3 linked regions of the Saccharomyces cerevisiae S288C genome follow. The protein of the gene in region 3 interacts with the protein of the main gene of each other region in a biochemical or structural test. Each region holds a gene or a part of one and is shown on either strand. Other genes may lie near its edges.

Evidence for each region.
Region 1: the proteins of AVO1 (region 3) and BIT61 form a complex in vitro, tested with the Saccharomyces cerevisiae proteins (one study listed by BioGRID).
Region 2: the proteins of AVO1 (region 3) and YPK2 form a complex in vitro, tested with the Saccharomyces cerevisiae proteins (one study listed by BioGRID).

Annotation. Positions count from the first base shown.
Region 1 is NC_001142.9:324,339-331,526, forward strand, and holds BIT61 (Bit61p), read right to left. Parts: upstream 3,536-7,188; coding exon 1,904-3,535; downstream 1-1,903. Other genes in the region: BNA3 (kynurenine--oxoglutarate transaminase), read left to right, coding at 1-382; amino acid transporter YHC3, read left to right, coding at 626-1,852; protein kinase IKS1, read right to left, coding at 3,780-5,783; ZAP1 (Zap1p), read right to left, coding at 6,093-7,188. UniProt on the Saccharomyces cerevisiae protein: Component of TORC2, which regulates cell cycle-dependent polarization of the actin-cytoskeleton and cell wall integrity.
Region 2 is NC_001145.3:470,724-478,563, reverse strand, and holds YPK2 (putative protein kinase YPK2), read left to right. Parts: upstream 1-3,110; coding exon 3,111-5,144; downstream 5,145-7,840. Other genes in the region: ATP-dependent DNA helicase YKU80, read left to right, coding at 1-263; YMR105W-A (uncharacterized protein), read right to left, coding at 306-500; phosphoglucomutase PGM2, read left to right, coding at 958-2,667; YMR103C (uncharacterized protein), read left to right, coding at 5,300-5,662; LAF1 (Laf1p), read left to right, coding at 6,212-7,840. UniProt on the Saccharomyces cerevisiae protein: Plays an essential role in the proliferation of yeast cells. Involved in a signaling pathway, required for optimal cell wall integrity, that acts in parallel with the PKC1-SLT2-dependent pathway.
Region 3 is NC_001147.6:179,939-189,183, reverse strand, and holds AVO1 (Avo1p), read right to left. Parts: upstream 7,503-9,245; coding exon 3,972-7,502; downstream 1-3,971. Other genes in the region: MDM20 (Mdm20p), read right to left, coding at 1-2,160; ribosome biogenesis protein BRX1, read left to right, coding at 2,461-3,336; ATP19 (F1F0 ATP synthase subunit k), read right to left, coding at 3,540-3,746; REX4 (putative 3'-5' exonuclease), read left to right, coding at 7,757-8,626; Ras GTPase activating protein IRA2, read right to left, coding at 8,875-9,245.

The sequences.
Region 1 (7,188 bases), on a different chromosome or scaffold from region 3:
CGACGCTTTAAAAATTGGGTATTTTGAAAAAATGAGACAGGAATATATCAACAAATTCAAAATTTTCACATCGATCTTTGATGAATTGGGACTACCATATACAGCTCCAGAGGGTACATATTTTGTCCTCGTTGATTTCTCTAAAGTGAAAATTCCCGAGGACTATCCCTACCCAGAGGAGATCCTGAATAAGGGAAAAGATTTTCGCATTTCTCACTGGTTGATCAATGAATTAGGTGTGGTTGCCATTCCACCAACTGAATTCTATATCAAAGAGCACGAAAAGGCTGCTGAGAATTTGTTAAGGTTTGCAGTTTGTAAAGATGATGCTTATCTAGAAAATGCCGTAGAGAGATTAAAACTACTCAAGGACTACTTATAAGATAAATTTTTTTTTATACTCCTTTTTCTCAATATATAGATTTTATAAAGCATGTATATTTTTATGCAGAAGTGGTAAATATAAACATCAATATTCCAGAATAATTCCATATTTTCTTCGCGTACTACAAGAAAAAGTGAACCCTTAATGAAAAATAGACAATATGAACATTTAGTAATGTTTTGAACAGTGTATTTATAGAGTACTTAAACACATATGAAGATATAGCGCAAGTAAATATAAATGAGTGACAAATCTCATCAGATATATTGCTACTTTTGGCTCTTTGGTTTGATCAATAATGTACTTTATGTGGTAATACTTTCAGCAGCTGTTGATATCGTGGGTCCTACCTTGCCTAAATCTCTAGTATTGCTAGCAGATATATTCCCATCACTCGCCATTAAATTGTGTTCCCCATTCTTTATTGATAGAATCAAGTACAGCTATAGAATATGGTCTTTGATCACGATGAGTTGCTTAGGAATGTTCTTAGTTTCTTTTAAAAACTTGTTTGTTTGTCTTTTAGGAATATCTTTCGCATCTATATCTTCCGGATTTGGAGAAGTGACATTCCTACAGCTAACACACTATTACAAACAAATTTCTTTGAATGGATGGTCGTCAGGTACTGGTGGTGCAGGAATCATTGGCGGAGCATCTTATATGTTCTTAACTTCAATCTTTAAAGTTCCAGTGAAGCTAACTTTACTAGTATTTAGTCTCCTTCCATTTGCATTTTTGTTTTATTTTAAATTAGAATCCAATGATACCAACCTGACTTACCAAAGTCTTCAACAAATTGACGAAGCAGAGGATGACCAGTTGGTGCCCTTTCCTGTCGCCTTTACACATACCAACGCTTCGCAATCCCTGTATTCTACAAGACAGCACATTTTGCAAACGGTCAAGAGACTTCGAAGATTGGTTTTTCCATACATGGTTCCATTGACCACCGTCTACTTATTCGAATATTTAATAAACCAAGCGGTAGCTCCGACCCTATTATTTCCGATTAATGGTGATGAAAGAAGTAAATCGATGCCATTTTTCTTCCATAAATACAGAGATATATACGTAACCTATGGAACGCTCTACCAATTAGGTGTCTTTATATCAAGATCCTTTGGACATCTTATGAGAATGAGGAGTTTATACATCTTAGCGTTTTTACAAGGTGTGAATTTGTGCATAACGGTACTGCAATCATGGTTTTATGTCACACATTCGCCCTGGGCGGTGATGATATTAATATTCTATGAGGGTTTTCTTGGTGGTGCGTCATATGTTAACACATTCTTAAATATTCTCGAACAAGAGGATCCTGATGAAACAGAGTTCGCCATGGGTGCTGTGTCCATCGCTGATTCCTTTGGCGTTTTTTTGGCTGCGTTACTTGGTTTGGGGCTAGAACCCAAACTTTGTAGGCATCAAATTGCCGATGACAGACCTTGGTGTAGGATGGAATAAAGTTTTGTTGTGATATTAAATAGGAGATTGAAATAAAGTGTTAGATGCTTTCTATATACTCATTCTAATGCCTGCTAATAACTCTTCGATAATTCGTTGATTTCTATCATTACTTTGAATGGTACTCAATATGCCAAAACACTGCAGTAATGTCAATTTATCTGTTTCTGTGACATTACTTTCTTCTTCTTGATTGAAAATGTAAAGTTGAAAACTTTTGCTGATACCATCGTTACTATTTACGAAGTTTTCATAACAAGGTAAGACTATTGAATCTCTAAAGCACATAAGCAAAAGAAACCCAATAGAATAATTACCATTAATGTGAGTCCGACTTTCATTGCCTGACTTTAAAACCGTAGAATTACCATCTTCTCTGATACTCTGATCCAACGGTAATAACACAGCGGCTAAATCATAATATACCTCTTGATAAAATATCCGCCATATAACGCCTAATCTTTTCAATGCGTTATTTATTGTGTCTTCATTAGAATAGTTAAAAACAATTTGGTTTTCTAAATTGTATAGGGAACTAACCAAAAATTCTTTCAAATCGCTGATAATTCTATTCATGCCGCTATGTGTGACTCTTGGATCTGTTTTTAAAATGCAATAGAATTCTAAAACTTCGTTAAAATTTTCTATTTTGGCCCTGAGTTTCCATATTCTTTGAGTTCTGAATAATTCTGCTACGTTACTACAAAATATATTCCAAATATTATTTGTTAGGGTTGTCAGTTCTTGGGAGTTGAAGTGTTTATAGTTAGCTTCCAGAGATGGTAAATTTCTTAAAAGGTCGTGTAACATTGAGACCGGATTCGGTGAGGCAGGATCAGTTCCAGAAAGCGGATCCTCAACGATTGTGTTGGGATTGACACCAGATGGATTAACATTCAATGAGTACACAGAAGTTCCTGAGTCCACAAGTTGCCCCGCATTAGTATGAATAAATTGTGACGGAGATTTATGTCTTCCGTAAGAGGAATGCAGAAATTTACTCAAGGAATTTGGAATTGCAGGCTCGATAGCATCTTGACCAATGTGCCTGTGGCTTTTATTTTGGAAAAAGTTCTTAATCACGTTTCGAAATGAATGTGAACTATTATGTAAGGTGCTTGAATCTGTCAAAAAGGAGGCAGGATCCGATGAAATGGTCGTATGTGCTCTGTTTCTCCTATTAAAAAAGCCAGAAGCCTTTCCTTTCATATACCTGCCGGAGGGCGTGGAGTGTAAACTTTTCTGAGTAATGGATATTGCATCAGAAGATAACTTTTTAGATAGATTGTTCGAGCACTCCACCGTGTCAACGCTATGAGATTCCCCTATCTGAGAAGAACCAGATTTAGATGTTGCAGCTGAGGCATTGTCATTGCTCCTCAAGGAATGATTTGAGGCCACACTGACCTTCGATCGAGGATGATCTACTGTATGGAATATGGATTGGAAGCCAACGTTAGAAACACTAGGGCTAATGGGGTTCCTCGAGCCCTTCAAATTCTTGATGGAATAAACGTCATCATTTGATGTGTCTACAAGAGTTTGCCGGCTAATCTCGCTTGTAGTCTGAAAATTTTTTACTGGGGCTGTGGCTAATTGCACATTAAGGTATTGTTCGCTATTGACAGGGCGTTGTGTCGTAGTAGATGTTCTTTCTCGAAGGAGTATATCTTCTGCTGTCATAATGAAAGAACTTTATTTCTACAGAGGTCAATTGGCGTTTCTGTCACCTAGATCTTTTCATTTGGTTATTCCCTCTATAAATTTACTCATCGGTCAATTTTTCTAACATTATGCACCTTTGTCACCGGCCCTTAGAAGAGGTGAAGATGATTCGTGAACATTGGTGATAAGCGAGAATATTTTCTATAAATTTGTAAAGTAAAAATAAATTACGTGCTATTTAGTTTGCAATGTGTACTTATTGTTAGTATATGTATTTTTTGCATGCGGCGATGAAGGCCAGTAAAACCAACGCTCTTGCATGCTTACCTCTTTCATCAGCTGGTGATTTAAAAACCATTCCCAACAATATCAGTGACATATAAGAGAGCCACGACCCCGTTTTGGTACACTTAAATATGATTATCGTTAATATCATAGAAACTAGTTTGTAACAAACCTGGATTGTTCTATTTAAAGCAGAATACTTTTGGAGGTTTTGGGTTGATACGGTGCTCAAATTTTCCTCTGGTGCTGGTAATGATAAAGTAACGTTGTCTCCGTCAATATAATCATCAGTAAAACTGTTGGTATTCTCATTCACTTCCGAGATTGTACTGAAGTTCAAAGTGCTATCCACATTTTCTTTCCAGAATTTTTTGCCGGGTTTGGAATTTATTAGCATTTCATCTAACGTCTCCTCCACTGTCTTCGCTGTGGGTCTAGCATCATTATTTGGTTGTAAAAGAGCGTCCATTAGGTGAAATATTCTACGGTCTATTGGTTTCAATTTCATCGCTTGATGCTTTTCAATCATACCTTCAGTGTCGAACCTAAAATTTTTGATGCGTACCTTCAAATCAACTATATCCAACTGTGGTTCAAAGGGCAATTCACCGAAGACAATAAAATAGCAAATCATTCCTAGAGAATACATATCGGAAGCAAAGGTGTATTCATTGTATGTGTGACTCGATCTTGAAGGCAACGTAGAAGAAGAAACTGGTCTCCCCTGGATAATAAGGTCTGGTGCTGTAAACTCTAATGTTCCTGTGCAACCAGTACCCAATCTGGACTCTCCTTCCAACTGACTTTCCCCCAAATCGCCAATAACAATTGATGGGAAAAACTCATCTGAATTGTGTTCCCTGTCGTATACGTTGTCATTCTCATTGTCACTTTTAAATGGAGTCAATAATAAACAGTTGGATGGTTTCAAGTCCCTATGTATTAGGCCAATACTGTGCAGTTCGTGTAAACCTCTTGCAATATCCCTTATAATGGATACGAGCTGTTCCGTAGATAGGCCAACTTCTCCTGATTTACCGTGATTTTTCTTGCGAGTTCTAAATTTTTTTTTCCTCTCTTCAGGTGATTCGGTATCTGAGAACCTATTGAACACTTTTCTTAGAATACAGTCTTCTAAATTGCCGCCACTGCAATACTGTTGTAAAATGAAAATACAAGGAACTTCTTCTTGTGAATCCGATTGGCTCCCATCAATGGATCTGACAAATCCAACCGAAGAATCCATTTCGAGCCACACATGATTATACGTAATCAAATTGGCACTTTTGTGAGTTAGCGAACTCAACGCTTTCACTTCCCGTATGCACTTATTAAACCATTCCATATCATTTCCAATAGGTATTTTTTTTAGTGCAAAAACACCTAATTCAGTATTACCAATTGTGTGTACAACTTTGTAAACAGAACCTCTTGCACCATTTCCCAGCAAAGACAATATTTTGAAAAATTTACGAAAGTATCCGGGGATAAACAAATCATCTGGAATAAAGTATTTGTTTTTGCTGAACTGTCCCTGCTTATTGTTACTATCGTTTTGTAGGGCGTAGTGCCGATGATTTCTTTCCAATGACTGAAAATATCTTCTTGAAAAGCTTGAATTGGCAAATTCAAATCCAAGTGGCACAGTGTTCTCTGGAATACTGAGCCTACTGCTTTCTGATTCTACTCCAGCAGAGGCTCGACGATGAAGTTGTCTTCTGTTTATAATATCAGGGTTAATTTCCGTACCACATTGCGGGCACACATAGGAAGCAATAGGGCTTTTGTATTGATGAATCCCTGAAGGAAAGTCCAGTGCTGATAAAGATGCAGTCTGGTCTTCATTTAGTTCAGAGTCATTATTACTGTTGTCCTGTTGGAAAAATGATAAAGTTCCTGAGGTTGGATTAACAACCACCACTGATTTAGAATTAGGATCATCTAAAATCAGCGAACCTTCTTCATATGGTACTAAACTCATTTCTAAGTTCTACTTATGCTATCCCTCAAACTATATATCTAATAGTGTTTCTTCGGTTACCTAGTTGTCACTCATAGGATCTATATATACAATGTCCTTCCCCCCCACCCCCTTTTCTGAAACGTATACAAAAAATAAAGCTTGAAATACGTTATTACGTAAAAAAAGTGTACTGTAAAAGCTTACAAAAAAGAGTTTGCGAAAAATTATAAATAAAAAGTAGTCTAGGTAAAATATGAAATGTTTCTAATTATGCATTTATGTGATCCTGAAAACCGCCCTTCTTACGTTGGACCATGATGATCACATTTATAAATATGGTTTTCTTTCCAATGCGCATTTCACTTTCTGTGAGTTCAATTTTCCCAAATCGTCAAAGCTTTTGGAACAGTCAGAGCACTTGTATTTTTTCTGATGGGTCTTAATATGTTTGCTCAAATTTGACGATTCGTTGAATCTCTTACCACAAATCTTGCATTGTAAAGGTTTTTCACCAGTATGGGTTCTTATATGAATCTTCAAAGAACTTGAAATCGCGAATTTTTTATTACAAATGTGACATTTGTAAGGTTTTTCGCCAGAGTGTGTCCTGGTATGCTGAACTAAAGTTTCTTCGCTTGAAAAACACCTTTTACATGTCTTGCACTTATAAGGTTTGTATTTCGAATGCACTTTTAAATGACGGATTAATTTTTGTCTTTGGGGGAACGTACGATGGCAGTCATGCCACAAGCATTGGTATTCAGACTTACCCCGGGTTAAATGTACTGCTTCTAAATGGTCGTTTAATTCCTGAGCACTGGAAAATGACTTATTGCAACCATCCCATTGGCAAATCACCTGTTCCGGCTGCTTGATTGGCGGTATATTGGAAACATCATTTGCAGACGTCATATCAGGTGCTCCATCTGCTTTAGAAACTTCGTGTGTTTGTGGGTTGGGGCAATGTAGTAAGTGATGTTTTTCCTTTGATATACTACCAGGCAAAAATGAGTCTGGGTTGGCAAATTGAATATCAAAATTGATACCATGTTGACAATTAATATGGTTCACTATGGAACATGTATCATCTCCAAGGAAATCACAGTCCTCCCAATTACAAGCTAATGGTTCCATAGGGTGTTTGAAATCTTGAGAGACATGATCCTTCAAAAGATGTCTTTGTAGGTCAAATAGTGAGCTACAAGACTCAGGACATTCTTTCCATTTGCATTTTAAGTCATTGTTTTTCTCTTCTTTAAAACACCAGTTGAAATTTATAGTGCTTGTTGTCTGTATAGGAGGAGAGATGCTAGAAGGTAATGAGTCTTCCAAAGAGCTGAAATCAGTAGATTCTAGATCTTTTGTAGGCCAAGATCTACGATTTTTCTGATTCTGATGAGTGACTTTGGGTAGCGAAGGGGGC
Region 2 (7,840 bases), on a different chromosome or scaffold from region 3:
ACCAACTGATGATCAATGATTCCAGGGAATTTGAAATCCCAGAGCTTCCTGACTCATTGAAAAACAAAATAAGTCCTTACACGCACAAGAAATTTGATAGCACAAAATTGGTTGAAGTGCTCGGCATCAAGAAAGTAGACAAATTAAAACTCGACTCCGAACTAAAAACTGAGCTTGAGAGGGAAAAGATCCCGGACCTAGAAACGCTATTGAAGCGCGGTGAACAACACAGTAGGGGAAGTCCAAACAATAGCAATAATTAAAAAAGGTCTAACATCCTTTGAGTTATGTTTTCGTCACCACAGTTAAAGAGAAAAAAAAATAAATAGCGGGTAAATAATTGTCATACTACTGATTTGCATTGTTACCTTGTAACTTTGAACACTAGCCATGCAGGTTGCTTTTCCTCCTTTACACCTTCCCCCCTGTCGCTGTTCAAAAGTAAATGCAACAACAATAAAACGTGGGTAGAGGACGTTCCCTGTATGTACTAAAATCATACTATCATCCGTTGAGGTCGAGCGGTTCTCTAATCTCAACACACGCTGCTGCCCCTGAGCTTGCGAGCTAAGGACAACAGGGCCAACTTGTTCTTTCTAGGGGGGAGAGGCCCAACTTAGGCTCGGTGAAGAGAAGCGCGGAGCTCACGAAAAGGGGTGGTGTCGCGCACTACTTTTTTCGTGGGGAACTTACGTGAAAGGGGACGTTATACTTTTGTTATGTGCAGTTCCAGGAACAAACAGGGGTTGAAAAGTGTAAAAGAAATAGTTGATTCTTTCAGAATCTGGATGACTGCCGCCCGAACAATGTGGGAAATATAAAAAGGTACCGTTAATATTGTTTCATTTTCGAAGATAGTGTTCCATGTCTTTCTTCAGCGTTGCTTGAACAATAGGATAATAAGAAGAAGATCAACCAATCTTTCTCAGTAAAAAAAGTAACAAAAGTTAACATAACATGTCATTTCAAATTGAAACGGTTCCCACCAAACCATATGAAGACCAAAAGCCTGGTACCTCTGGTTTGCGTAAGAAGACAAAGGTGTTTAAAGACGAACCTAACTACACAGAAAATTTCATTCAATCGATCATGGAAGCTATTCCAGAGGGTTCTAAAGGTGCCACTCTTGTTGTCGGTGGTGATGGGCGTTACTACAATGATGTCATTCTTCATAAGATTGCCGCTATCGGTGCTGCCAACGGTATTAAAAAGTTAGTTATTGGCCAGCATGGTCTTCTGTCTACGCCAGCCGCTTCTCACATCATGAGAACCTACGAGGAAAAATGTACTGGTGGTATTATCTTAACCGCCTCACATAATCCAGGTGGTCCAGAAAATGACATGGGTATTAAGTATAACTTATCCAATGGGGGTCCTGCTCCTGAATCCGTCACAAATGCTATTTGGGAGATTTCCAAAAAGCTTACCAGCTATAAGATTATCAAAGACTTCCCAGAACTAGACTTGGGTACGATAGGCAAGAACAAGAAATACGGTCCATTACTCGTTGACATTATCGATATTACAAAAGATTATGTCAACTTCTTGAAGGAAATCTTCGATTTCGACTTAATCAAGAAATTCATCGATAATCAACGTTCTACTAAGAATTGGAAGTTACTGTTTGACAGTATGAACGGTGTAACTGGACCATACGGTAAGGCTATTTTCGTTGATGAATTTGGTTTACCGGCGGATGAGGTTTTACAAAACTGGCATCCTTCTCCGGATTTTGGTGGTATGCATCCAGATCCAAACTTAACTTATGCCAGTTCGTTAGTGAAAAGAGTAGATCGTGAAAAGATTGAGTTTGGTGCTGCATCCGATGGTGATGGTGATAGAAATATGATTTACGGTTACGGCCCATCTTTCGTTTCTCCAGGTGACTCCGTCGCAATTATTGCCGAATATGCAGCTGAAATCCCATATTTCGCCAAGCAAGGTATATATGGTCTGGCCCGTTCATTCCCTACCTCAGGAGCCATAGACCGTGTTGCCAAGGCCCATGGTCTAAACTGTTATGAGGTCCCAACTGGCTGGAAATTTTTCTGTGCTTTGTTCGACGCTAAAAAATTATCTATTTGTGGTGAAGAATCGTTTGGTACTGGTTCCAACCACGTAAGGGAAAAGGACGGTGTTTGGGCCATTATGGCGTGGTTGAACATCTTGGCCATTTACAACAAGCATCATCCGGAGAACGAAGCTTCTATTAAGACGATACAGAATGAATTCTGGGCAAAGTACGGCCGTACTTTCTTCACTCGTTATGATTTTGAAAAAGTTGAAACAGAAAAAGCTAACAAGATTGTCGATCAATTGAGAGCATATGTTACCAAATCGGGTGTTGTTAATTCCGCCTTCCCAGCCGATGAGTCTCTTAAGGTCACCGATTGTGGTGATTTTTCATACACAGATTTGGACGGTTCTGTTTCTGACCATCAAGGTTTATATGTCAAGCTTTCCAATGGTGCAAGATTCGTTCTAAGATTGTCAGGTACAGGTTCTTCAGGTGCTACCATTAGATTGTACATTGAAAAATACTGCGATGATAAATCACAATACCAAAAGACAGCTGAAGAATACTTGAAGCCAATTATTAACTCGGTCATCAAGTTCTTGAACTTTAAACAAGTTTTAGGAACTGAAGAACCAACGGTTCGTACTTAAAACGAATGATTTACTAATGGCTTAATGATTTTCACCTTTTTCAATGAATATTAACGGTAAAGAAGAAAATTTCAATTTTTTGAACACATACTTTATATACTTAATAGATCCATATTTCGACATATTAGCAAACGATTGCATAGGTTTCTGAGTCTTTTTTTTTTTTTTTTCATAAGGAGGAGAATATTTTGGTTAATCGCAGTATCTTCTTCATAAGTGCTGTTTCTAATTATATCTAATTCACGAATTTTTCCCAAATTAGCGTATCCCCGAATTCAGATTACCTACCCCGAGTTTTTTATTATATTTCCCTCGAGAAATCTGTAAAATGGCCGTCATCCTTAGATTTATAAATAAAATGATAAAATTCAGCCAAAGTGCTCCTAAACCAGAATTGTTCAACTGGGTCAAATTATCGCGTATACAAATATACATATAGTAACATGCATTCCTGGCGAATATCCAAGTTTAAGTTAGGAAGGTCCAAAGAAGATGATGGGAGTAGTGAAGATGAAAATGAAAAATCGTGGGGTAATGGCCTGTTTCATTTCCACCATGGAGAAAAACATCACGATGGTAGCCCGAAGAATCATAATCATGAACACGAACACCATATAAGAAAGATCAATACAAATGAGACTCTCCCAAGTTCCTTAAGTTCTCCAAAATTACGTAATGATGCATCCTTCAAGAATCCATCGGGGATAGGAAATGACAATTCTAAGGCTTCCGAAAGGAAAGCTAGTCAGTCGTCTACTGAGACGCAGGGACCGAGTTCGGAATCCGGACTAATGACAGTGAAGGTGTATTCTGGTAAAGATTTTACTCTTCCCTTCCCTATCACCTCTAACTCTACTATTTTACAAAAACTACTAAGTTCCGGCATCCTTACTTCATCATCCAATGACGCTTCCGAAGTTGCAGCCATAATGCGGCAGCTACCACGATACAAGAGAGTGGATCAAGATTCAGCAGGGGAAGGCTTGATAGATAGAGCTTTTGCCACTAAATTCATTCCTTCCTCTATATTGTTACCTGGGTCAACAAATTCAAGCCCATTACTTTATTTTACAATTGAATTTGATAATTCTATTACTACTATTAGTCCAGATATGGGAACGATGGAGCAACCAGTGTTTAACAAAATATCGACATTTGATGTAACAAGAAAATTACGATTTTTAAAAATCGATGTCTTTGCAAGGATTCCATCCCTACTTTTACCCTCTAAAAACTGGCAACAGGAGATTGGCGAGCAGGACGAAGTACTGAAGGAGATTTTAAAAAAAATCAATACAAATCAGGATATCCATTTGGACTCCTTCCATTTACCTTTGAATTTAAAAATCGATTCTGCAGCCCAAATAAGACTATACAATCACCATTGGATTTCTTTAGAAAGGGGATATGGTAAATTAAATATCACGGTGGACTACAAACCTTCTAAGAACAAGCCTCTCTCCATTGATGACTTTGATCTATTGAAGGTTATCGGGAAGGGTTCGTTCGGCAAAGTGATGCAAGTAAGGAAAAAAGATACCCAAAAGATTTACGCTTTGAAGGCTCTGAGAAAAGCATATATTGTATCGAAATGTGAAGTGACACATACTTTAGCGGAGAGGACTGTCCTAGCAAGAGTTGACTGCCCCTTTATTGTTCCGTTGAAGTTCTCATTCCAATCTCCGGAGAAGTTGTACCTAGTATTAGCTTTCATTAATGGCGGTGAACTGTTCTACCATTTACAACACGAGGGACGATTCAGTCTAGCACGCTCCCGTTTTTATATTGCAGAACTATTATGTGCTCTCGATTCATTACACAAACTTGACGTCATTTATCGTGACCTAAAGCCTGAAAACATTCTATTGGATTACCAAGGACATATTGCACTGTGTGATTTTGGGCTTTGCAAGCTGAACATGAAGGATAATGACAAAACAGACACTTTCTGTGGTACTCCCGAATATTTGGCACCAGAAATCTTGTTGGGGCAGGGCTATACTAAAACAGTTGACTGGTGGACATTAGGTATCTTACTGTATGAGATGATGACAGGGCTGCCACCATACTATGATGAGAACGTTCCTGTTATGTACAAGAAAATTCTGCAGCAACCGCTACTATTTCCTGATGGATTTGACCCTGCGGCAAAAGACCTATTAATTGGCCTCTTAAGCAGAGACCCAAGCAGAAGACTCGGCGTTAACGGTACAGATGAAATTCGTAACCATCCTTTCTTTAAAGACATCTCATGGAAAAAGCTACTTTTGAAGGGCTATATTCCGCCTTACAAGCCAATTGTAAAGAGTGAAATAGATACTGCAAATTTTGATCAAGAGTTCACTAAGGAAAAACCGATCGATAGTGTAGTGGACGAGTACTTAAGTGCAAGTATTCAAAAGCAGTTTGGTGGGTGGACGTACATTGGTGACGAACAGTTGGGTGATTCTCCTTCGCAGGGGAGAAGCATTAGTTAGAAGCAAGCCGAAGCAAGCCGAGCCGAGCCGGACGGAATTTATAGCTATAGCCGCAAGAGGTTGCAATTTTCAAAAATGGATAGTTCAAGTAGATTGCGATACGCACTCCGTTACTATTGTGGTTAACGGGGACAAGAAGAACTACAGAAAATAGAATGGTCCGCAGAGGCTGCGCTCTTCTTTTAGCAACTCTCACACGACTTATGTTGCTTATTCATTTCTTTTACAGCATTATCAGAATTCTTCCATCTACGGAATTGAGATCAAAGACCGACCTGTTGTCGGCCGAAGGACGGACGCTTATACCCGCGGATGTCAAAGCGAAGCCCGCGGGGCGCAAGTCGAGGTTACCGGAATTCGCCAAACGGCAAAGGACCCTTGCATTGCCTGAAAGGAAAGATTCGCTTTTCTGTTTGTTGCCACTTTTCTTACATAGTCTGGGCCGGGAGCAGCTTATTTCTTCCGCGGATGATCCTGGATTTCCTTGCGCGGGCTCAGCCATGGGGAGCCTTACCTAGTCCCGTAAAGGGAAAAAGCTAACCTCATTCGCCTCACAGGGTGAAAGCGTGAACAAAAAAAAAAGAAAAGCTTAATGATTAAAATTTACAGTATATATATATTTGTATTTACGTATTAAACTATATATAAATAGATATGTATGCCGAAAAAGTAAAGTCTGGGTGATGCCTAGTCCAATCTTTCTTACTACTGTCCAGTTTCTATCGTAGCAGTTAATTATACATAGAACTGTGTAAATTCAACGCATTAATTTTTTTTTTTTTCACTTTCGCAGTTAGGGGGGACACATTTTTTTTGCCCTTTCTTAAGCTTCGTAAGCGAGTTACATCATTATTTCTTCCTGGGATACAATACGCGTTCGTACAAGTCACAGCTGGACCGTATAGGGAACAAGACTGCAACTCTCTCCAACTTGTTAAACAGAGGAGGAAAAGAAAGAGGGAAAAGAGGAACAAAGACAATCAAAGAAAAAGAATAGAAAGCAGTTGCTGAGCTCTTGGCATATTGTATACGGTAGTGGCGTATAATATAGTACGAGAATTAGAAATATGACGAATATGGCGGAGGATAAAACAAGTATAAGCAAGGTACATTCTGAATTCAGCAATTCCTCGAATACCACTGGATCTGAAGAGGAGAGTCGGTCGCATCAAGAGAGCTTCGACGGCGAGTCCAGTTCCGGTGAAAGTAAAAGTAAAAGCAAACTAAATCTTGAATATTCTGCAGATATCGAGCCATTGAAGTTCAGAATGACAAAAACTAATAATACAAATGACAAATTAAAATATAGTAACAACGGCAACGCCACTGATTCATTTATGAGACTAAAGGAACATTTACAGAGAGGCAATACTTTAAATTCGAATCTTAGGGTCAATGAGTTTTACCCTTTCAATTCCATTGATACAGAGCAATTTGAAAACTATTTGAGAGAGCCAAAATACATTAAAATGTTGAAACGTCGGAAAAACCTGAAACAATTTAGAAGATTGTTTCTCGCGCAAGAACTAATGGCCTACGAAGGTGAAACGGTTACCTCCACTTCCAAATCATCTGAACCAACCTCTAAAGCTATATGGAGTACAAAGTTTAGCCGCGATGGAAAATTTATGGCCACTGGTAGCAAAGATGGTAAAATAAGAATATGGAAAGTTATTGGCTCTCCAGTTGAAAGAGCCGAATTGGACTCGAGTGCGGAATCAAATAAAGAGGCACGAGCCAAGTCGATGCGGATCAAACAGCAGGTCAGTTCATTGAACAATCCAAAAGAAAAACAATTTTTGGATTCTGCTACAGAGAAATACGAAGAGAAGGAAAAATTATTGAATTTGTATGCGCCTGTCTTTCACCCAACGCCTTTGCGACTGTATAAAGAACACGTGCAAGATGTTCTGGATATAAATTGGTCTAAAAATAATTTTATTTTGTCAGCATCGATGGATAAGACAGTAAAACTATGGCATCCCGATAGGAAAAATTCACTTAAGACATTCATACATCCTGATTTTGTCACTTGTGTGGAATTTCACCCCACCGACGATAGATTTTTCATTAGCGGCTGTCTGGATCACAAATGCAGGTTATGGTCTATACTGGATGATGAAGTTAGCTTTGAGTACGATTGTCAAGACTTAATAACATCTGTTACATTATCCCCTGAGGAGGGAAAATACACTATAATAGGAACATTTAATGGATACGTTCATATTCTGATGACCAGAGGTCTCACTCCAGTTTCTTCATTTCACGTAGCTGATAGACAAACACAAGAACAAAACGCTCACGTCATGGTCACGGAAACTGACTCAAAAATTCGTCATGGTCCACGTGTGACGGGTTTGCAAGCTTTTAGATCTCAACTGGACAATTCTTTCCGCTTAGTAGTTACATCGAATGATTCGAGGATAAGAATTTTTGACTTAGAACAGAGGAAGCTTCTAGAGGTATTGAAAGGCTTCCATAGCGGATCTTCCCAACACAAGGCACAATTGTCCATCTGGCATGGTCAGCCAATCGTTGTAAATAGTAGTGATGACCATTGGGTTTACGGCTGGAGGTTAAAGTCTTCGGATAGAGAGAATGATCAAGACGAACCTAAAAGGAAACCAAAGGGATTGGCTCGGTCCGGAAGTTTGAGAAGCATATTTAGTAAATCAATGAGTAGGTCTTCCAGCCAG
Region 3 (9,245 bases):
CTTCAAACTGTCTAGTGTTTTTAAGGTTGCCATTTTAGTAAGGTAAGTATGGGATACCATCCAGTTTTGTTTTGCATTTATTGGGACTTTCATCAACCTAGAAATTAAATCATGTAGATTTTTACCGTTATTTTCGTAAATTTCGAAAAAAATCAGAAATGACGCTGACTCCACTTCAGTTAAATTATTATTCAACAACTCTTCAAGGTTAATTGATGGAAGTTTTTTTAAGAGCGCACTTATTTGTTCCGTTTTCTCCCCATTTGGCAAAGCTTCAATAATAAGTTCTCTTATCAAAGTTAGAAAAATTGATTCTTCATTCAAGTTAGCATATTCCAAAATTTTACCACGGTTAAGAAATTGGGCAAAATTTTCATCTAATATGGAAAAGTCTCTATTGTCAGAAAATGATACACTTTGCGTCATTTCTAAAGATCTCCAATCTTCGTGTAATTTTTGTAGTAGGTGGCCGCGCTTGTCGTTGCATAAACGTGAGAACTGTAAGTTTTCTAAAGTTTTGGTCCATCTTGTATAGGATTTCATTAGTTTATCCCTCATCTCGAGCATTCCTAGTATTTTGCTATATGAATTTCTTTCGAATGCCACCTGAATATATCTTGGTAAATTAGCCAGTGATGTATCGTATAAATTATTATGTTCATGGAATGTCTTGGAGTAAAAATCGCTCTGTTTATTCGGGAACAAAGTAGAAAATCTCGAGAATATCATGTAATCTAGGGAATCTGTTTGAACGTTTTTAATCTTTAGGTTTATGAAATGGAAATAAGCATCGGGAACTAAACCCAGGTACATGTATAAAACAATCAGCCAGCACATAGTATCGAAGTTATGAGGGTCCTTGGCTTGGTAATTTTCCAATATCGTTATACACAAAAGCACGTCTTTCAATTCAGGATTAGTTTTCTTGCACTTGTCCTTGACTATTTCTAATAAGAATGTAGAACAGGAGGAATAATCCGTTACCGATTTTTTTTCCAGGGTCCCCTTAAACTTGTTATAGTTATTGATTGAGTCGCTTCCAATAAGTCCCAATTCTAGAATATTACAATGATGAATCAAATCCTTATCCTCTGGATCGTACTTAGACATAATGCTCTTAAGCATATCTATGTTAATGTGGCCGCTGTAATGATTCAAATCGATTGAACAACAAGGTTTGTTATGGTACTTTGATAAATAGTACGACAAAGATGATTCCGAAACCGAATCGGTGTACATTATATCAAGTTTCAAGCGCGCCAATCGAGTATTCCTTGAGTCTCCCAAATTTTCATCAATCCATTGTTTGACTTCGTCTTTAGATTTAGAAAGTTTGTAGGCAGCATCAATCAAGTTTGTGATCAATTCATAATCATCAAGGCCCTTTTCAATAAGTTTTGAACAAACTTCAAAAAGTTTTTGTGGAGAATTCAATAACTTGGTATGCTTCAAGATAAAGTTTTTCAAATACAAGTTTACTGAAGTATCAAAATTGGCAAAGGTAATCGCAACAATCTCTTCCGAGATTTCTCTAGATTGAGGGAATAGTTCATCCAACACCAAACAATAAACTATAATCTCTTGAACATTTTGAAATGGTTTCAAGTCTAACAAAGACTGGCGCGCTAGCCTGGAGAGCAAAATTTTCTTGGGATCTGAAAGAGTGTTTTCCTGAAACCTTGATACGGCTAAAATCGAGATTGCATTCCAAAAATAATATGCTCTTTTAGGCAGGTTTCCACTGTCACTGTATTTAGCTAGCTGTAGAGATGCTTTGCTCATTTGGTTATAATTGGAATCTTCCAATGCTTTCATAAACCAGTGATAAGACAATTCGTAGCTAGGGAATTTGAAATTTCCTCTTTCATACACGTGCAATGCTTCGTCGTATTTCCCTAACTCTACGAAGAAGTTGTGCAAAAACTCCAAGGAACGCGTGTCGCCCGTAATCGTTGTCCCTTTCAGCCCATATGGTTCTTCTAGCAGTTTATTGTAATCGAACTTACCAGGTGACTGCTTGAATTTAACATAGGTTTCCAAAATCTTGAAGTACAACGCATTGGGAAATTGTTTTTGCAATTGCCCCAGTTTTGCATAGCATTGTTTGAAGTTGGACCTGCTTACTAGTCCTAATATCTCCTCCTGTATCTTGTCGGACATGCTTCGATGCGATGATTGCTGTACCGAGCTCGTTATGTATCGTTGCTTCGCCAATGAATTCTGTTGCAGCTGACATTTATTATTTATTTTCCTAAAGCCCTCGGCGGTCCGTGGACAGTGATTTTCGTTAAAGGTGACTGAAAAATTTTAGATGCTCATCGCGATGGTTCTCAAAGAATCTATCACCTAAAAAGATACAGAAATTGCTATAATATTTACGAGTTAGAAGGTTACTTAGCCTTATTTTGCTTCACGTCTTTCTTTATACATTCGTCAGGTGTTGAAAGAGTTCAACCAAAGATGTCTTCTATCTACAAAGCCCTCGCAGGAAAGAGCAAAGATAATAAATCTGAAAAGAAGCAAGGCAATGTCAAGCAATTTATGAACAAGCAAAGAACTCTTCTGATTTCGAGTAGAGGTGTTAACTATAGACATCGTCATTTAATTCAAGACTTAAGCGGATTATTGCCTCATTCCAGAAAGGAGCCAAAATTGGATACTAAAAAGGATCTTCAACAGTTGAACGAAATCGCTGAGTTGTACAATTGTAATAATGTTCTATTCTTTGAGGCCAGAAAACACCAAGATTTGTATCTATGGTTATCCAAGCCGCCAAATGGGCCAACTATAAAATTTTACATTCAAAACTTGCATACTATGGATGAGTTGAATTTTACAGGTAACTGTTTAAAGGGTTCTCGTCCGGTATTGTCGTTTGATCAACGTTTCGAATCCTCCCCACACTACCAATTAATTAAGGAGTTGCTAGTGCATAATTTTGGTGTACCACCAAATGCTAGAAAATCTAAGCCATTTATTGATCACGTCATGTCCTTCAGTATTGTAGATGATAAAATATGGGTGAGGACATATGAGATCTCACACAGTACTAAGAACAAAGAAGAATATGAAGATGGCGAAGAAGACATATCATTAGTGGAAATTGGCCCTAGGTTTGTTATGACTGTCATTTTGATCCTAGAAGGTTCATTTGGTGGTCCAAAGATCTATGAAAATAAACAATATGTTTCGCCAAACGTCGTAAGAGCTCAAATTAAACAACAAGCTGCTGAGGAGGCAAAGTCTAGAGCTGAAGCTGCTGTGGAAAGAAAAATTAAGAGAAGAGAGAATGTTCTTGCCGCCGATCCTTTATCAAACGATGCCTTGTTTAAATAATAAGCATAATACTATCAGAGAGTTTTACATAACATTGTATATTAAAAAGATATAACAAGAAAAGAGTGGATGTAGCAACTGTCTAGTTATAGACCTCTTTTTAATAATTTAATGTTTAAATCTTGAATATCGAAAGCTGTATATATAAAGAATATTTATTGTATGTACAAAAGATCTTCAACCGCGCAGCAATCAAGCTATATTTACGCATCTTGCTTTTCCGAATGTTTCTTTAAGTAGTTTTCAATGAATTTTTCCTCGTCTTTGTTGTCTGTTTTGATGTCGACTGTTTTTGGCTTTGCGCTTTTAAAAGGATTTGGAACAACCAATAAACCTAGCAGTCCTAATGTCCCAATGGCTAGTTGGTGTGGAGGGATAGCTTTCCCCATGAAATGATAAGCAGCACCCATTGTCGTAGTTATAAATTATTATTTGAAGTCACCTGGCCTTATTCAATGCTAACGAGTTATGTGCTCTATGGGGGGACTTGCTCCTAAAAAGCTCTTTTTTTTCCCTTTGCATCGAGAAGCGGACTCTGACCAATCACCATCGAGATCGCGATGAAGTATTTTCTATACCATATTTAGATATAAACCAAAATTAATGCTGGTAAGATGCAGTATAATGGGTTTTACTTATTTATGATTCATTCTATAAGCGCTTAATAAGTTTTGTAATCGCGTCACGATCTCAGTACACTCTTGACCTGAAACTGCTTCAAAGTAGTACCTTTTGATATCATCTTGCCCCTCTCTTCTTACGAAAATTTTGAAATGCTCAGGGACTCTTTTGGATTTTTTGACAAGAACCACTTGACTAATGTGTAACGACTTAGTCTTTACATTATCATGCCAATGTATACGTCCCTCCGGGGGTACAATGTATATGTAGTCGCCATCAATGGCTAGTGTTCTTTCATGCTTGTTTATAAATGACATTTGCTGCCTTCTCCATACCTTATATTTATGATACGCTCCGGTAAAAAGATCTTGGAAGTTATCTCCAACTCCATTTGGAGTGTCAGGCGTGTGCTCCATCGTACTCTGAGAACGGTTTATATTATGAAACTGCAGTGTCCCATGCAAAGAGGATTTGGATGAATTCTTGTTCTTGAAAAACCCATTTCCATTGGCGAGACCGCCAGCCGTTGAAACACTTCCACTAGCAACACTTGATGACGAATGCTGCTTTGCCAAGCCCAGCTTATACTTCGTGGATATCTTCTTAGCTTTGGATGTAACTTTCGTGTTTTCAGGAATGGCAGCCACAGCCCCTCCAGCATCTGCTTTGAGATAAGAGTTCAGAGGCTCCAAAGTTAACGGAGTTAGATCATTACTTTGGATCGTTGGCAAAACGGGCTTCTTTAGGTCAGGTTTCATTTTTTCCAAATGCAACTCCCTTGCATCTTTTTTAGAGATGAGTTCCACCTTATTAATACCATCGAGCCTTAATACCGTATCATTCAAGTCCAGTATATAGTTCTTTCCTAGAACTTTTAATGCATATTCATTAGGATCCATATTTTTCATTTTGCAATATTTTACCAAAATATCGTTTATATGTGAGGTCACTAAAACACTTATGGTAGTATAGTTAAATTTGGGATTCACGTTAGGATACAAATATACTGTTACATCAATGATTTTCGAACCGTTTGTCTTATCGATGTCGTCTTCATTACCTATAATAGGTTTGTAGAAACTTAGTTGGTTGATGGTTCCGTCAGTTGTATCGTGACTGCTGTTAGCATCCAAAGTAGAAGCATCCATTAGGCCCCCACCAGTTTCAAATGGTAAAGGTGTTTCAATTTCATTTTGAGACTTCTCGGCATCATCAACCTTACATAAAACAACTTCGCTGTCCGAAATTGATTGAATAGTGCTTTTTCTATCTAGTTTACCAAAGTTATCCTCAAAAGGTTCACCGTCTTCATCGACAATTTTCAAAGAGAAGTTATTAGGATTAGAAATGTCTTCAACTGTCAATCCATCTTCTTCAAAATTGTCCGGTTTTTTCTCAGTAGAATACAAAAATAAAGCAAATCCAATAACTTCGAAGATGGTAGACGATTTTCGGACTTTGGTAGTGAAGGAATTTCTTTTATATTTTTTGGAAGCTTGAATGTATATTTCGAGACCCATTGATTCATAATTTGGTACTTTATCTCCGCAAACAAATGAAAAATATTCTAACACATCTACAGAATTAGTATTTGTTCTCTTTTTCTTTTTGTTGAACATATTCGATAACTGTGAGGCCTTCGGTTTCGACACTAGATAATCGGTGGTTTTCTCAATAAGGATGTTCCCCTCTTTCGAGCTTTTATGGACACTTGATGGAACACTAGGTTGAGAATGGTCCTGCTTTAACGTCAACGTGCTCTTCCTTGCCCTATGCAATACACTGTCAGAAACCTTTGGGGCTTTCATGTGTTCACTACTGGCCGTCGATGAAGTTCTTCCATGTCCTCGTAAAAGAGGAGACCTTGTTGAAGTTAAATTCGAGCTAACAGAAAATTTTCTATTAGAACTGGTTAAGGATGTTGGCTCCTTTCCTGATATAACAGTATCGCGCCTTTCTTTTGGGTGTCGCGATGAATTCATAGTCAGTACGGCTTTATCGAAGACATTGTTTAAGGTAGAGTCATCATCGCCATGATAGATGCCATATTTTTGCATAGACATTGGTATGGAATGAGAGGGTATAGTATTAGTTTGCATGTCTGAATCAAGAGACATTTCACCGCTCTCCATGGTTGACGAGTCGTTATTAGAATAACGTTCTTCGGAATATTCAGATCCTAAAAGGGACTTCCCATATGATGAGCCAGGAGTGATTCGGTCACGATTTTGTGCATTGAATTCATTGCTATTACTGCGGCTGTCTTTTGAATCCCTGTTCATGACCGCCGTTCCATCATTTGTAGATTCATGTCCTCCCAAATCAGATACTGTTTTGTTTATGTTTGAGGTCACTGTATCAAAATTCAAATCATCTAAATCTTTTTCATTGATATAAGATTCCATATCGGAAATATTGTTGCTTTCCGTTTCCGTCAAACCGTCCCTACTCACCGATCCGTTACCGCTGGCGCTGCTTCCATCTCCATGTATACCTTTATTGGCATTCAGTGAATCAGATTTTTGTCCATCATTTTTATTGTCAGTTAAAAAAATTTTCCCCTTTTGACTTGTGGGGAAATGAGATTTTAACCTTGAAGCACTTCCTATATTGCCATTTGAACTCTCTCGATCATCAAGAATGCTGATGCTGTTTCTGTTATTTGTGTAGGTGTTGTTTTTATTGTTGGACATGCCGTTGATGCCTTTGTGGGCTGGACTTGCTCCAGAACCCTTAGCATCAAAATCATCATCTAACTGAAAAAATTGAGAGTGTATATCGTCACCTTCTTCGTCATCGTCGTCGTCATCATCTTCTTCTTCTAAGTTTTCATCGAAATCGAAGTTCATATCGAATTTACTGCCTTTCTTATTATGGCGAGCACCAGGTGGATGCAAAGTAGATGATTTTGCTCTTGTATTAGTTGTATTCATGACATTTTTATTTCCAGAAGTATTTGAGTGGTCCCTTCGACTTTTGAATATCCTCACGAAAGGAAGCGACGATCTCTTACTAGATTTCTTCTGCATTTCCATCGAACTATTTAAATATGAGTCTTCCTTTGAGGAAGTTTTGTGATGTTTTCCACTGGTATGGTCGTCATCATTTAAAAGAGAGTTCGACGCAGATGAATTAAGTGGATTATAACGAAGTGTTCCATTTTCTTCAACTATCAGAGTATTTTTTGCACTTTTATCTTGCAAATTTCGTGTTTCTTCCTCGTCTCTTTCAGTCTTCTCTGCTCCTATTAAATTCTGGTTAGCCTTTCCTTTTTGGCCTTCATTCTCCCTCATTATCCTCATTTTCCCTAATGAAGCATAGTTTTCCATAAAATCCTTAGATACCGGTGGAGACTCTAGTTCAGGTAACAAGCTTACGCCGTCTGAGTTCATATATAATTCACGGATAGAAGAATCTAAGCACTGCTCTGTGTTGAATTCATCTACGGGTATGTACGGTTTTATTATTCTTTTCATTTGATCTTTCTCCGGACACACTCGTAGAAACTGAGCCCGCAGTTCATTTAATACCGTCACCGTGTCCATTATCGTCTTATTATGGTGTGGTGGGGGTTTTACAAACACTGTTTTATTTAGTTTTCCTGTTCAGTAGCCTGTATCTATTGAGAATTATTATACCGTATATTTTTTGACGCGGGCTGATATGTAAGGTCGGCTAAAAAAAAGAAAAATTTCAAAAGTTAAACTAACCTCATCGCAACCACAATCCATTTAAAGCCTGGTTCTAGAGGCTTCATAGACGTTTACAGATTTAATAAAGTAGATAGCGTACAGTTTTAATGGCTCTCTCTTCAAACTGGCAGGCACTATTAGCCTCCGAAAGCAATCCTACCTCCAATGGAAAGAATAAGCAATCAAATAGGAAAATCAGAAACGTTAAGAAAGTTAGCAAAACAGTAAATGTCAGTAGTACAACCCAATATGCCCCTCGAAAGCGCAAAAACGGCAGTAAAATTATGGACATGGTATATAACATGAACAAGGAGATTAGTAAGCATGAGAAAGACAAGCTCGAGGGAAAAGTGTTTGAATTCAACCCAAATAAAGCAAATACTAGTACTACTATTAAAGAGCCAGTAAAAGTGGGTATTTCGGAAGATACTCGTATTAATAGTAATAAGAGTAAAGAAATTGGGAAATACATCGCCATGGATTGTGAATTTGTAGGCGTTGGTCCCGAGGGTAAAGAGTCTGCGTTAGCTAGAATATCAATCGTAAATTATTTTGGACATGTCGTCCTCGATGAATTTGTTAAGCCAAGAGAGAAAGTTGTAGAATGGAGAACTTGGGTTAGTGGTATTAAACCAGAGCATATGAAAAATGCCATTACATTCAAAGAAGCTCAAAAAAAGACTGCGGATATTCTGGAAGGTAGAATTCTTGTAGGGCACGCTTTAAAGCATGATCTCGAAGCATTGATGTTATCCCACCCAAAGTCACTACTCAGGGACACTTCAAGACACCTCCCATTCAGGAAGTTGTATGCTAAGGGTAAAACACCCAGCTTAAAGAAATTAACCAGGGAGGTTTTAAAAATTTCCATTCAAGAAGGTGAGCATTCTTCAGTCGAAGATGCTCGTGCCACCATGCTATTATATAAAAAGGAAAAAACGGAATTTGAAAAAATTCACAGAAACACTTTCAACTAAGACGGTAGATGAATGGCCCCTTTTATTCTTACAATTAAAATGCATTGGTATGTACATTAGTCTATGTGGCGCTTGAATTTACTGAGCCATTCATTACACGATAGAATATATAAAAATTGTAGCTGTATAAAAGCAACCCACGTAACAAATTGCGAAAAATTAGCGATAAGAAAACCCTAACATGAGATATGTACATTCATGCTTACAGATAGATATTGATATTTCTTTCATTAGTTTATGTAACACCTCTAAGCAGAACATGACATCCTTGATAAAATCATTGTCATTATTCTCTTACGTTCATAGATATCTTCAGGTTTTACATCTAAAGGTATCATCATGTCGGAGTTCTTCGCAAATATACCAGAAGAAGTCACAATCGATAAACCTCTTTTGGTTAGACGTTCAATGGATTCTTCGTGAAGTTTTTCTAACGAATTAGACTCTGAATGCGTCACTAATAAGTTTAAAATATCGAAAGCAAGTGGAACACAATCCGAATTTTGCTCAAATGCTGATATTTTTCTTATTTCGTTACGAATAACACTGTAAAAACGCAATGCACAAATGGGTTTCTTTGTCAATAGATGCCTAATAATCAACGCAAACCTAAATCTAC